Macaca mulatta: one gene and its partner. The protein of the gene in region 1 purifies or fractionates together with the protein of each later gene. This does not show direct contact. Links are inferred from orthologs where the notes say so. Each region holds a gene or a part of one and is shown on either strand. Other genes may lie near its edges. The genes, in order: RAB3GAP2 and VAPB.

What was found.
Region 2: the proteins of RAB3GAP2 (region 1) and VAPB purify together in Homo sapiens (affinity purification with mass spectrometry; 4 studies listed by BioGRID and IntAct, counting the BioPlex papers as one, with this or other methods). This does not show direct contact. The link is inferred for Macaca mulatta from reciprocal best matches to the Homo sapiens genes RAB3GAP2 and VAPB.

The regions. Positions count from the first base shown.
Region 1 is NC_133406.1:77,944,874-77,950,784, reverse strand, and holds part of RAB3GAP2 (rab3 GTPase-activating protein non-catalytic subunit), read left to right. Parts: intron 1-444; coding exon 445-519; intron 520-827; coding exon 828-1,046; intron 1,047-4,281; coding exon 4,282-4,371; intron 4,372-4,943; coding exon 4,944-5,165; intron 5,166-5,911. UniProt on the Homo sapiens protein: Regulatory subunit of the Rab3 GTPase-activating (Rab3GAP) complex composed of RAB3GAP1 and RAB3GAP2, which has GTPase-activating protein (GAP) activity towards various Rab3 subfamily members (RAB3A, RAB3B, RAB3C and RAB3D), RAB5A and RAB43, and guanine nucleotide exchange factor (GEF) activity towards RAB18.
Region 2 is NC_133415.1:111,189,896-111,196,506, forward strand, and holds the start of VAPB (vesicle-associated membrane protein-associated protein B/C), read left to right. Parts: upstream 1-3,081; 5' UTR 3,082-3,259; coding exon 3,260-3,317; exon of another isoform or gene 3,318-3,366; intron 3,367-3,416; exon of another isoform or gene 3,417-5,545; intron 5,546-6,611. UniProt on the Homo sapiens protein: Endoplasmic reticulum (ER)-anchored protein that mediates the formation of contact sites between the ER and endosomes via interaction with FFAT motif-containing proteins such as STARD3 or WDR44.

The DNA of each region.
Region 1 (5,911 bases):
GAGGGTTGGGTTTAGTCTCTAAAAGACACTCTGAAAGCAGATCAGGCTGTTTTCTTGGAACTCTTCAGGTTAGATTCTCATTTGTGCATCTTCCGTCTACCACAATTATTTGGCTACCAGATGCCTTAGCAAGCTGAACAGTGAGCTCAGAAGTGCCACCATCTATAGTAACTGATGAGACTGTGTCTTTACAGTACACAAAGAACACTACTTGTTTTAAAAGTCAGTATTTGTACCACTTTGTAAAGCTTGACTTTAAAATTGGTTGACAGTAAATAAAAGAAGGAACTTAAATATGCTGATGCCTTGACTTTCAAATTCTTGCCATCTATTCAGTGTGGAAAGTCAGCCGAACGGGCATATTGTATCCTCGTTCTTGTTTTGCTGATGGTAACTACAGCAGTTTTCCTGCAGGGCCTAATTATGTTCCTTTTTTAAAAACAGGATGTGGGAATGAGTGACACAGCAATGACATCTTTCCTTGGCTCCTGTTTGGATCTTCTTCAGATCTTAATGGAGGTAAAAGAGGTGTATTTTCATTCTGAACTGCTCCTAAGATATTAAATATTCTGCAAACCATTGCATTTAATAAATGACTATTTTAATGAGGTTGTTTTTCATTCCCTCATTTCTAAATTTTGACTTAAGCCTAAAAGGTAGTGATATTTTCTCATTAAATCCTTCTTGAAATTAGACTTTGTGTTTATTACAATTTGGGACACTGTGCAATATGAGTTTGCACTTTGCTGCTAATAAACTCATTAGGATATTTGTAAGCTATTATTTTTCCATTACTAAACACAGTCCTCCATTCTTAAAACCCTTAGGCAGATGTTAGCAGGGATGAAATACAGGTGCCTGTGCTGGATACTGAGGATGCGTGGCTTTCCGTGGAAGGACCCATCTCCATAGTGGAACTGGCCCTTGAACAGAAGCACATCCACTACCCACTGGTGGAGCACCACTCCATCCTGTGCTCCATCTTGTATGCAGTCATGAGGTTTTCTCTGAAGACCGTGAAGCCACTGTCACTTTTTGACAGTAAGGTAAGTACCTCAAAGGATTTCAGAGCTATTTTGGAGTTGCAGGCTTAGCAGACACATGGATTTTCATATTTAATAGAAGCTGTCCAGTACTTTTGTGACTTGTGTCATTTGGTGTGAGGTTCCAACTCCCTCATTCCCTGCTTGATTCCGTTCTTTTTATTTACCTTCTGTACTGCTCCCCTTGGGGAGTTTTGCCCTCTCAGCTGTCTGCTCTTCTCGTTCTCCATATTATTCCTGGACAGACTCATTTTCTCCCTCTTGTATATCTCTAGGCCTGACCAATCCCTAGAGTTGGAGGCATGCATTTCAATTGAACTTCTCTCTTTGAGTGTCTTAGAGGGCTTCAAACACCTCATATCTAAAATATACCTGCAAACCTATACCCCCATCCTGCCCCTAACTTAAATTTGCTGTTCCTTCTGAATTCCCTGGCTTGGTTATTTTATTAATGATGTCATCATTTTTGCCCTGGCAAAAACTAGAAACTTTGAAGTTATCTCACCAATTCCTTACTTCAAGCCAATTTTCTTCATTGTAAATTCATTCTTACAAATTCTTCCATAGATCATACCTGTCCATTTCTCTCTATGACTATACCCCTAGTTCAGGCACAATCATCTTTGCCTTGGCTATTAAAACAGCCCTTTCCTAATCACCTGCCTCCAGTTTCTCTCTCTCCAGTCCCATGCTGCAAGAGCTGTCTTCCTAGGAGACAGGTTTAATTGTGTTAGTTCTATACCTAAGATTTTATTGGCTCCTCTGCAGGATTGAGTCCAAACTTGTGAGTAGAATATGTTTTTACATACTATATTGTAACTTGCACAGTTTAGCTGCAGTAGATAGTAAAATCCTTTCCTTCCCCATGCAGCTGTCAAATTTTGAGAGACAGGACACAAACTGTTGGAGATAAAAATGTCAACTTTATTACTTAGCTTTTTACTGATAGAAGCTGGGTTAGAGAACACAGCTTACGCTTGTGGGAAAATGGGTTTATTATTTCACCCTTAAATAAGAGACTCCCGAATAGGCGCGGTGGCTCATGCCTGTAATCCCAGCACTTTGGGAGGCCAAGGTGGGCGGATCACTTAAGGTCAGGAGTTTGAGACCAGCCTGGCCTACATGGTGAAACCCTGTCACTAGTAAAAATACAAAAACTAGCCAGGCGTGGTGGCGCAAGCCTGTAATCCCAGCTACTTGGGAGGCTGAGGCATGATAATCACTTGAACCTGGGAGGCAGAGGTTGCAGTGAGCCGAGATCACACCACTGCACTTCAGCCTGGGCCACAGAGTGAGACTCTGTCTCAAAAAAAAAAAAAAAGTATAGATTTTGAAAAAAAAAAAAAGTTAGTATATCTTTGAGATTATAAAGGATAAGAGTACTTAAAGGTTAAAACAGAGAAAGAAATACCAAAATAAAGTGCCCAGCTCAGTATTCCCCTCAGAAAAGGTCTTTGTGAAACCAGAACATACCCACAATTGGACGAGCACAGTAATGTTTAATTTCCACCCATGTCATGCCAAGACTACCTGAGACAGCTGGGTGACACTCATCTGCAGAGAGCTAGTACGGTTGAGTGGCTAGTGAAACAATGCCAGTGCTACCATTTGCTAACTAGAATTATTTAGATTTTCTTACTCTCAGTTTTCTCATTCATAAAGTAGCAGTGACTCCAGCGCCAACCTCATGGTTGTTGTGAGGGTTCCTTGTATTCAACATGAAGTACGTAGTGTCTGGAATGTAGTAAATACTGGTACTATTATAGATGCTTATAGCTAGGACCACCAGGTGGGAACTATCGAGTAACAGATTGTGAATGTGTGCTAAATCTTTAAATACTTCTATCAGTGATGCCCAAAATGCCATGGGTTGCCCTGTAAGTCTGGTTTTTCTTATCACTAAAGGATGAGTAGCTTTAATCTGCTTGGCAGTCACAATAGATGACCTAGAATCACAGATGATCAGGTATGGAAGGCACATTGGAAGATGTGCTTGCAGGATGTATCCTTGCTAGGATGACCTGCATGCAGAAGAAGAAACAGTAACCCAAGATTGGGGGTCAGTTACCCAAGACAACCTGGTTGGAAGTGGTGAGCCTCAGACTAGACCCAGGTCTTTCAACTCAAAGGCCAGTGCTCTTTGCTCTGTATTACATTTCCTTCCAAGGAACTTCTGAAATCCTGTTTCCTGATATTCCGTTTTTACTCTTTAGACACACATCTGTTCTTTTAAATAAGGTGTTTTTAAACAATTCAACATGTGTTTTTAAAAGGACTCAGAGGTTGGGCGCAGTGGCTCATGCCTGTCATCCCAGCACTTTGGGAGGCCAAGGCGGGCAGATCACCTGAGGTCAGGAGTTTGAGACCTGCCTCGCCAACATGCTGAAACCTGTCTCTACTAAAAATACAAAAAAATTAGCCTGGGCTTGATAGTACATGCCTGTAGTCCCAGCTACTTGGGAGGCTGAGGTCAGAATCGCTTGAACCAGGAAGGTGAAGGCTGCAGTGAGCATTCCAGCCTAGGCAACAGAGTGAGACCCTGTCTCAAAAAAAAAAAAAAAAGATTCAGGGTACATATATGTATTACTTAGCTATTACTGCAGAGCAAATCATCCCAAAGCTTGGCTGAAAATACCAAACATTTATTATCTCACAGTTGCTGTGGGTCAGTAATCTGTGTTCTCCTTATCTAGGTGCCTCTGGCTTAGTCTCTCATGAAGCTGTAGTTAAGATGCTGCATCTGAGAGCTCAGCTGGGATGGGGAAAGGGTGACTCACTTCCAAGCACAATTGTTGGCAAGATTCATTTATGCCACATGTGCCTGTCCATACAGCAGCTCACAACATGGAACCTGGCTTCCTGCAGAACAAGTGAGAGTGAATATGAGTGCCTCAAGGCAGAAGCAGCCTTTGGAACGTGGTCTTGGAAGTAACATGCTATCACCTCTACCTACTTCTGTTTGCTAGCAGCAAGTCACCAGCCTACATGCAAGGAAAGGAGACTATAGGAAACATGAATACCAGGAGGAGGGGATCACTGGGGATCATCTTAAAGGCTGTCTACTCCATACTAGATACTTGTTATAAAAATTAAAGGAAGAATTCTAAAATCTTACTGTTCAAGGAGAAATGAAAATCAACCATTAAGTGACTTAAGTTTTAAACAGATCTTTCTCCCTTTCCCCCCTTCCCCCTTCATAATCTACACTCATCAGTTTTCTTGCTGTCTTTCTCTTTAGGGAAAAAATGCATTTTTCAAAGACCTAACTTCAATTCAGTTATTACCTAGTGGGGAAATGGATCCAAATTTCATTTCTGTACGACAACAGGTAAATTACAGCTATTGGATTTTGTTTTTGTTTCTTGGAAAAAAAACAGTAAAGGAAAAATCTAGCTTGCTTTTGAAAAGAATGACCACTTTCTATCGCAAGGACAGAAAACCAAACACCACATGTTCTCACTCATAGGTGGGAATTGAACAATGAGGTCACTTGGACACAGGAAGGGGAGCATCACACACCGGGGCCTATCGTGAGGTGGGGGGAGGGGGAAGGGATAGTATTAGGAGATATACCTAATGTAAATGATGAGTTAATGGGTGCAGCACACCAACATGGCCCATGTATACATATGTAACAAACCTGCATGTTGTGCTCATGTACCCTAGAACTTAAAGTATAAATAAATAAATAAATAAAATAATATTTTTAAAAATGACCACTTTCAAAGTATTCTTGAAAGCTAGTTGTTTACCTTTAAATGATGTGTTCCTTTTTTGATAATTAAACAATTTCATGGAAAAGCCACTGTAAGTGACAAAAAAGCTAACAATACTTTGATTTAGGTATTTTAAAATGAAACAGTAACAATATATTGCTGTATCTCTTTTTCCATTTTCAAGTTCTTATTGAAAGTTGTCAGTGCAGCTGTCCAGGCCCAACATTCAGCCACAAAGGTCAAAGATCCCACAGAAGAGGCCACACCCACTCCTTTTGGGAAAGACCAAGATTGGCCAGCTCTAGCTTTGGATTTAGCCCATCACCTTCAAGTTAGTGAAGATGTTGTTAGAAGGCATTATGTTGGGGAGCTATACAACTATGGAGTTGACCACTTAGGAGAAGAGGTAACATGACCCTTTGAATGTTAATTGGGCTCAAGTTATAAAATTGATAGTTGGAATAAAGACTCTCCAATGAAGCCTTTTGCTCTTCCTTTTGTTGGAACATCTAGGTACAAAAATAGAACAATATACTATTTTTTAAAACATAAAATTATAATCAAATAATTCCTGCAGTGTGCCAGGCCTGCCCCTATGCACAGGGATATAGCAGTAAACAAAACAGACAAGGTTCCTTCCTCATGAACTTGATAGTCTGCTGGTAGGAGCAGAAAAGCAGGCTACATTTTGCATTGACTGGTAGGTGCTATGAAGAAAATAAAGAGGGCCGAGTGTTGTGGCTCACACCTGTAATCCCAGCACTTTGGAAGGCTCAGGCGGCAGATCACTTGAGCCCAGAAGCTCGAGACCAGTCTGGGCAATATAGCGAGACCCCATCTCTAAAAAGGAAAAAGAAACAGGATCATATGAATAAACAGGAGCCACTACAGTAGAGTGGGCAGAGAATGTGACATTTGAACCGAGCCCCTAAGGAGAAGCAGCAGCCAGCTACTCAGAAACTGGGGGAACAGTGCTTGAGACAAGAATTACAAAGGCCCTGAGGTGGGGACTAGAATGACTAGGTCCAGGACTAGAAAGGCCAGTATGGCTGACGAAACATAGTAAGCAAGGAATAAAGAAGTGTGGCATGAGGTAGGGAGGCTGGCCCAGGCCATGGCTGTATCCTAGGTCTCGGAGCCCATGGTTATTCT
Region 2 (6,611 bases), on another chromosome or scaffold:
AGAAATGGGGTTTTACCATGTTGCCCAAGCTGGTCTTGAACTGGATTCAAGCAATCTGCCTGCCTTGGCCTCCTAAATTGCTGGGACTACAGGCGTGAGCCACTGTGTCCATCCAAGATAACATTTAAAAGAGATATTCTCACATATGATACAACATGGATGAACTTTGGGGACTTTATGCTAGGCGAAATAAGCCAGTCACAAAAGGATAAATATTGTATGATTCTGCTTACAAGAAGTACCTAGACTGGTCAAATTCATAGAGGCAGGATGTGGAATGGTGGTTGCCAGGGGCTTAGGAGAGGGAGCATGGGGAATGACCGTTTAAGGGGTACAGAGTTCTAGTTTTGCAAGATGAAGAGAGTTCTAGAGATGGATGATGGTGAGGTTGCACAACAATAGGAATGTTAATACCACTGTATACTTTAAAAAGATAGTAAATTTTATGTTATGTGTATCTTACCACAATAAAAAAGTAAAATTAAATTAAAAAAAAAAAGGTATTGTCTGAGAGTTTTCAAGAATAATGAAAGACACCAATCACCAAATTCAGAAAGCCCAAAGAATTCAAGGCAGAATAAATAAAAAGATATAGCATGAGCTGGGCTTTGTGGCTCACGCCTGTAATCCCAACACTTTGGGAGGTCGAGGTGAGTGGATTACCTGAGGTCAGGAGTTTGAGACCATCCTAGCCAACACGGCGAAGCTCTGTCTCTACTAAAAACACAAAAATTAGCCGGGCGTGGTGGTGGGTGCCTGTAATCCCAGAGACTCGGGAGGCTAAGGCAGGAGAATCGCTTGAACATGGGAGGCAGAGGGTGCAGTGAGCTGAGATGGCATCACTGCACTCCAGACTGGGGGACAGAGCAAGACTCCGTCTCAAAAAAAAAAAAAAAAAGATACAGCAAGGTAAAACTGTAGAACATGAGAAGAGGGGGAAAAGACCAACAACCTATGAGGGAACGATGTAAGATTGTCACTGGACTCCTGAGGAGCAATGAGGGGGAGCAGGCAAACAGTGGATGGCAATCAACTGTGCTGAGAGAGGACAGCTGTCATTCAAGCAAGGAAGCCAAAACATCTTTCAAGAACAAGGACAAGGCCAGGTGCAATGGCTCATGCCTGTAATCCTAGCACTTTGGAGGCTGAGGCTGGAGGATCACTTGAGCCCAGGAGTTTGAGACCAGCCTGGGCAACATAGTGAGATTTTACAGAAAATAAAGAAAATTAGCCTGGCATGGAGGTGCATGCTTTTAGTCTCAGGTACATGGGAGTCTGAGGTGGGAGGACTGCTTCAGCCTGGGAGATACAGGCTACAGTGAGCCATGATCATGCCACTGCACTCCAGCATGGGCAACAGAGCAAGACCTCATCTCCAAAAATAAATAAATAAAAAACAACAAAAGACAAAAACGAATGCATTTGCAGACGAACAGAAACTGAGAGGGTCTGCACCAACAAACCTACAAAAAAGTAAAATTTAAAGGATTTACTTCAGGCAAAAGGAGAGTGATCCTGTTCATGAAAGCTAAGATGCAAGAAGAAGAATAAAAATGGTAATTGTGTGGCTGAATCTAAATTAATGTTGACTGTATAAAACAATTTAATAATGTCTCCTGGGGTTAAAATGGCAAAGGTTAAACTTAACATACACTACATTAAGGTGTCTAATTTAGAGGATGGGTGATTAAAGTACTCCGAAGTCTTCATATTTTAAGGAAACAGGGTAAAGACATTTTTACAAATATTTAAACATACTGGACTTTCACAAGGTAAGCATGCATGCCCAAAATTTTCAAGTAACCACTAAAACTTAGAAATAGAGTATGTAGGTGAAGAAAATAAGAATGAGAATAAAAATAAACCCCAAAGAAGAAAGGGGAAAAAAAAAAGAAAAACAAAACAGGCAGGACAAGTAGAAATAACAAAATACGATGGTAGAAATAATTCCAGATATATTAGTAAATATAATAAATGTAAATGGACTAAATGCTACAGTTAAAATACAAAGATTATTCTTCCAAGAAATCTGTTTATCATGAAAAATTTCAAGTATACAGAAAAGTGGGAGAAACAGTACAAGAAAACCATGTACCTGCGATGTCAAGTCAGCCATTGTTAGCAATTTGCCATGTTTGTTTCACCTATATTGGTATGTATAGGAGACTATTAAGAACACCTACTTTACTTTCACAGTGAACATAATATAATGAAATACAATTTAAACGGTAATCATGATGTAGAGTATCCATTTTTGAGGTCAAGCAGATCTGGATTCTCCAGCAATTTTTAATTATTTAACTTACTTGTGTGGTTATTTATTCAAAATGTCTCTTCACTAGGCTACAGTAAAAGGATTGGAATCAGGTTAGCTTTTCTGATCATTGTATTTCTAAATATTTATTGCATAAACAAATCGAATTTACTAGTAAAAATTCAGCACAGTGCCAGTTGCCTAATAAACATTTAACGTAGAGTAGCTTGTATTTATTGTAGCTGCTGTTGTCATTGGAAGCATTCAGCAGAGTGATACGAAATAAGCAATAATTGGTAGTTTATTATATTTATAATTATTATTTACAAGACGTCACAGTGCTTAGCCCATATCACTCACCCATAAACATCATGTTTATACTAAGTACTTTGACTATTATTCAAAGTCTCTAACAGTGCCTGGCACTACATAAGCAAGAGAAAAGTGGAAGTTTATTCTAATTGTTGTTACTGAATAAAGCATTTAACACGAGGCTGGCCCCCAGCGGACCCTTAATAGTTTTCGCGGCTGCAGTCGTAGCCGGACTACAAACCCCGCCTCCTGAGCAGCGCGAAGCCCCGCCCCTTGCTGCCCTGCAGTTCCGCCCCCGTGGCTTGTACCGCGCCTGCGCACTGTCCCGGGTGGGGCTCCACGCGCGCAGCTTTAGTCCCCGCCCCTGGAGCTGGCGGCGCAGGGCGCAGCTTCCCGCCGCCCGAGCGGGCCAGCCTGCTGCGTGCGTGCGTGTGTACGCCTGTGCGTGCGTGCGTGCGTGCGTGCGTGCCGTCAGCTCGCCGGGCACCGCGGCCTCGCCCTCGCCCTCCGCCCCTGAGCCTGCACCGCGTAGAACGACCCCCCCCAGCGCGCGCACCCCGTCGAAGACTCTCACCCGTGCCCCGACTGGTCCCCCCTTTTTTGTAAAACTTAAAGCGGGCGCGGCATTAACGCTTCCCGCCCCGGTGACCTCTCAGGGGTCTCCCCGCCAAAGGTGCTCCGCCGCTGAGGAACATGGCGAAGGTGGAGCAGGTCCTGAGCCTCGAGCCGCAGCACGAGCTCAAATTCCGAGGTAAGCCCCAGAGGCCGCCACCTTCATGCTTGCGGCCCCCGCCCCAGTGCTGGAGGGACGGAGTCCGGCGCGGCGGGTGACGTCGGCCCTCGTCCCCACCCCGACGGCGCTGTCGTGGGGGCCGGCGAGGCCGGGCCGGGCCTTGGCGCTCAGCGCGCGCCCCAGAAATGCGCGGAGCGGCCGGGACCCGAGAGGGCTGGTGCAGGAGCTAGGGCCTCTGCCTCCTCCCCGACCCCCAGCCTCCTGGGACTTGCCTTCGAGGCACTTGTCACTTTGCCTTGTAACTTAGTGACCAGTTTGTGATCACTTTAGTGTGAGCCTCCGCCGCTGCTGTTGCCTGGAAGGTTCTTCCCCTGCTCTGTGACAGTGTTGACCTCAGGGTTTAGTTGAGGTATCACCTGCCCAGAGAGGCCTGCTGTGGCCACCCAGCCCACCGTGCACACCTGCTCTCCTGCTGTCCCCATTCTGTCACTGTTTCGTGGTCAGCACCGCACTTTTCGTACTCAAAATCACTGTTTCAACACTAGAAAGGAAACTGCATGAGGACAGGCTCTTGTCAGTTCGCTGCTGTGTACCCAGCACACATTAGACGCCTAGGAAATACCTGTTGAACCAACAAATGAACCTCCTCAGGCCTTCTGATGGGATTGGTCCCATTTTCCGTTCACTGCCTCCCTCATGGTGCCTCCTGGATGCAGCTGAGGGAGGCTGCCAAGGTGCTGGGATCCTTTTGCTCCGCAGAGCTGCCTGGAGCAACACCTGCGGTGGTGGGAAACCATGACCCTGGTTTCTCCCAGACACTATTATCTCTGTAATTTGTGCCTTTATGTTTTCTATGTTGTTCTTTTTTTTTTTTTTTTTCCTACCTTCACCAGGGCCACGAGGTAAAAGGTCTGACATGCTCATTCCTTCTTTTTGCTTGTATCCAGTGATGTGGAAGGCACTAGGGAGGTGATGGATGAACAAGACAGACAAGGCCTCTGCTCTCAGAGAGCTTAGCTTCCGACGAGGACAGACAAACCAGCACACAACATCGTTACAGATCCGTGGAAGGCACTGGGGAGGTGATGGATGAACAAGACAGACAAGGCCTCTGTTCTCATAGAGCTTACCTTCCGACGAGGACAGGCAAACCAGCACACGTGATCTTTGCAGATAGTGCTAAGTGCTGTGTAGGAAATGGAACAGTTTGACTCCATGGAAGTGTACTGTAGATTGGAAGGTCAGGTCTCCACTATATCGCTAGCAGCGGGCTCACAGTAGATGTTCAGCTGGTATTAATGAATGGCCAGAGGTTCTTCAGTTTATATGTCCTATTGGGAAGTAGTGTAGGGTAACTTATGCAAAGTTACCCAGTTGGCAAGTGGTACATTTGAACCCAGACTTCAGAGTTCACGCTGTTAACCGTTACGCTGTCTGATCGCTGGGAAATACTCCAGAACGGTGGCTGTCACTTTGCCTTCCAAGTTAACAATGTGAAATAACTCTGAATTTACAGAGAACCAAAGGCTTTCCAATTAAAATGAAAAAAACAAAAAAACCCCACCAAACCTACCGGGGATCGAAATTCCAGGATAGTACTTGAGGTTTCATGATGCGCTCATGGCTTTCTGGGAACGCCAGATTGGAAAAGGAGGCCAGGTGGCTAAAGTGGTGAGCCATGGTTTCCACTTGAGTTGTCTGAAGTTCTTTTTCTGTCTGGGAGGCCTGGCTTGGCTTCTCCTGAGAATTGGTGGGTTCATTCGGTTAGTCCACAAACATTTACTGAGTACCTGATCTGTGTGTCAGACACCCGGAGAAGCCAAGTCATATCAGCTGTACTCTCCCATTTTCCCTCAACCTCCTCCCAGTACTTTAGGGAAGGGGACAGATGAGAACAACAGCCAGGACAGGACAATGATGTAGGGTAGTTCAGAGTGCCCCAGGAGCATTGAGGAGGTAAGCTCCTGAAGGAGGTGTCATTTGAGCTCAGTTATAAAGGTTGAGTAGAAGAAGGCTCAAAGAAGGAAAGGGTGAGAACATTTCAGACAGAGGAAATTGCATGCACAGAGGCACAAACACTGAGATGACTGGGCTCCTTTGGGATGCCCAGTAGTTCTTTTTTTTCTTTTTCTTTTCTTTTTTTTGAGATGCAGGTCTTACTCTGTCACCCAGGCTAGAGTGCAGAGACGTGCTGTCTCACTGCAACCCCCGCCTCCCAAGTTCAAGCGATTCTCCTGCCTCAGCCTCTTGAGTAGCTGGGATTATATACAGGCGTGTGCCTCTACGCCTGGCTAAAAATGTATTTTCAGTAGAGACGGGGTTTCACCATGTTGGCCAGTTTGGTGTCAAACTCCAGACCGCAAGTGATCTGCCCTCCTTGACCTCTCAAAGTGGTGGGATTACAGGCGTGAGCCACTGTGCCCAGCCACCACTAGTAGTTGTGAATGACAGCAACAAAGAAAATTTGTTGTGGTTGCCCGGCAAGATGGCAGACAAGGCTGGTGAGTAGACAGGAGTCAGACCTCAGTCCCTTTATGCATAGATGCAGCCAGTGTCCAAGTTAAAATTGTGTTGCTTCTCCTTGAGCAGTCCTTCCTTGCATTAACTTTCTGAAAACCCCCAAATCCCAGTACAAACTCTGTTGTCTAATAGGATGTTATGGAAAGAGGCACTCATTTGAGAAAATTCAAGATTTTGTTCAGTTGTTTTACTGAAAGATGTGTGACCTTAGGCCACTTCACTCCTCAAAGCCTGGGGTCATTCTTTGGTCAATGGGGATGATGCTCATGTCCACCTTGCCTCTTGTAGAAAGTGTTTAAAAGGAATGACATGGCTGTTAGCGGCTTTGTAAGTGCGTAGTACTATACAGAGATTAGACAACCACTTAACCACTTAAGTGGTTTCATCACTTCTGTACCTGAAAGGTGTGGCAGAGAAGAGGGATCATTCTGGCCCTGGATTGGCCAAAGTAATAATGCCAAAGTCACTGGATATTTTTGCTGGGGAAGTGGTCCAAGAGAGATGGTACCAAATTGTTGAAGGCCTCTGGCTTATAACTTTAGAAGAGACATCTGTGTGTGTTTTTAAACGACGTCATGAGTTGTGTTGTTTGTTTTAAACTGAATGCTAAGACAGTACAATTAATAGAGACTCAATACCCTGACTTACTTAGAGATAATTCATTTCAGGATGAAAACTGGCACATTTAACTGGTTTCTTCCAGGTTACTCAGGGTGATGACTCTGATTTCTGGTGGTTCACCTAGATGAACCTCTGAGCTAACTACTTAAGAAGGTAATAACTAAAATGCCC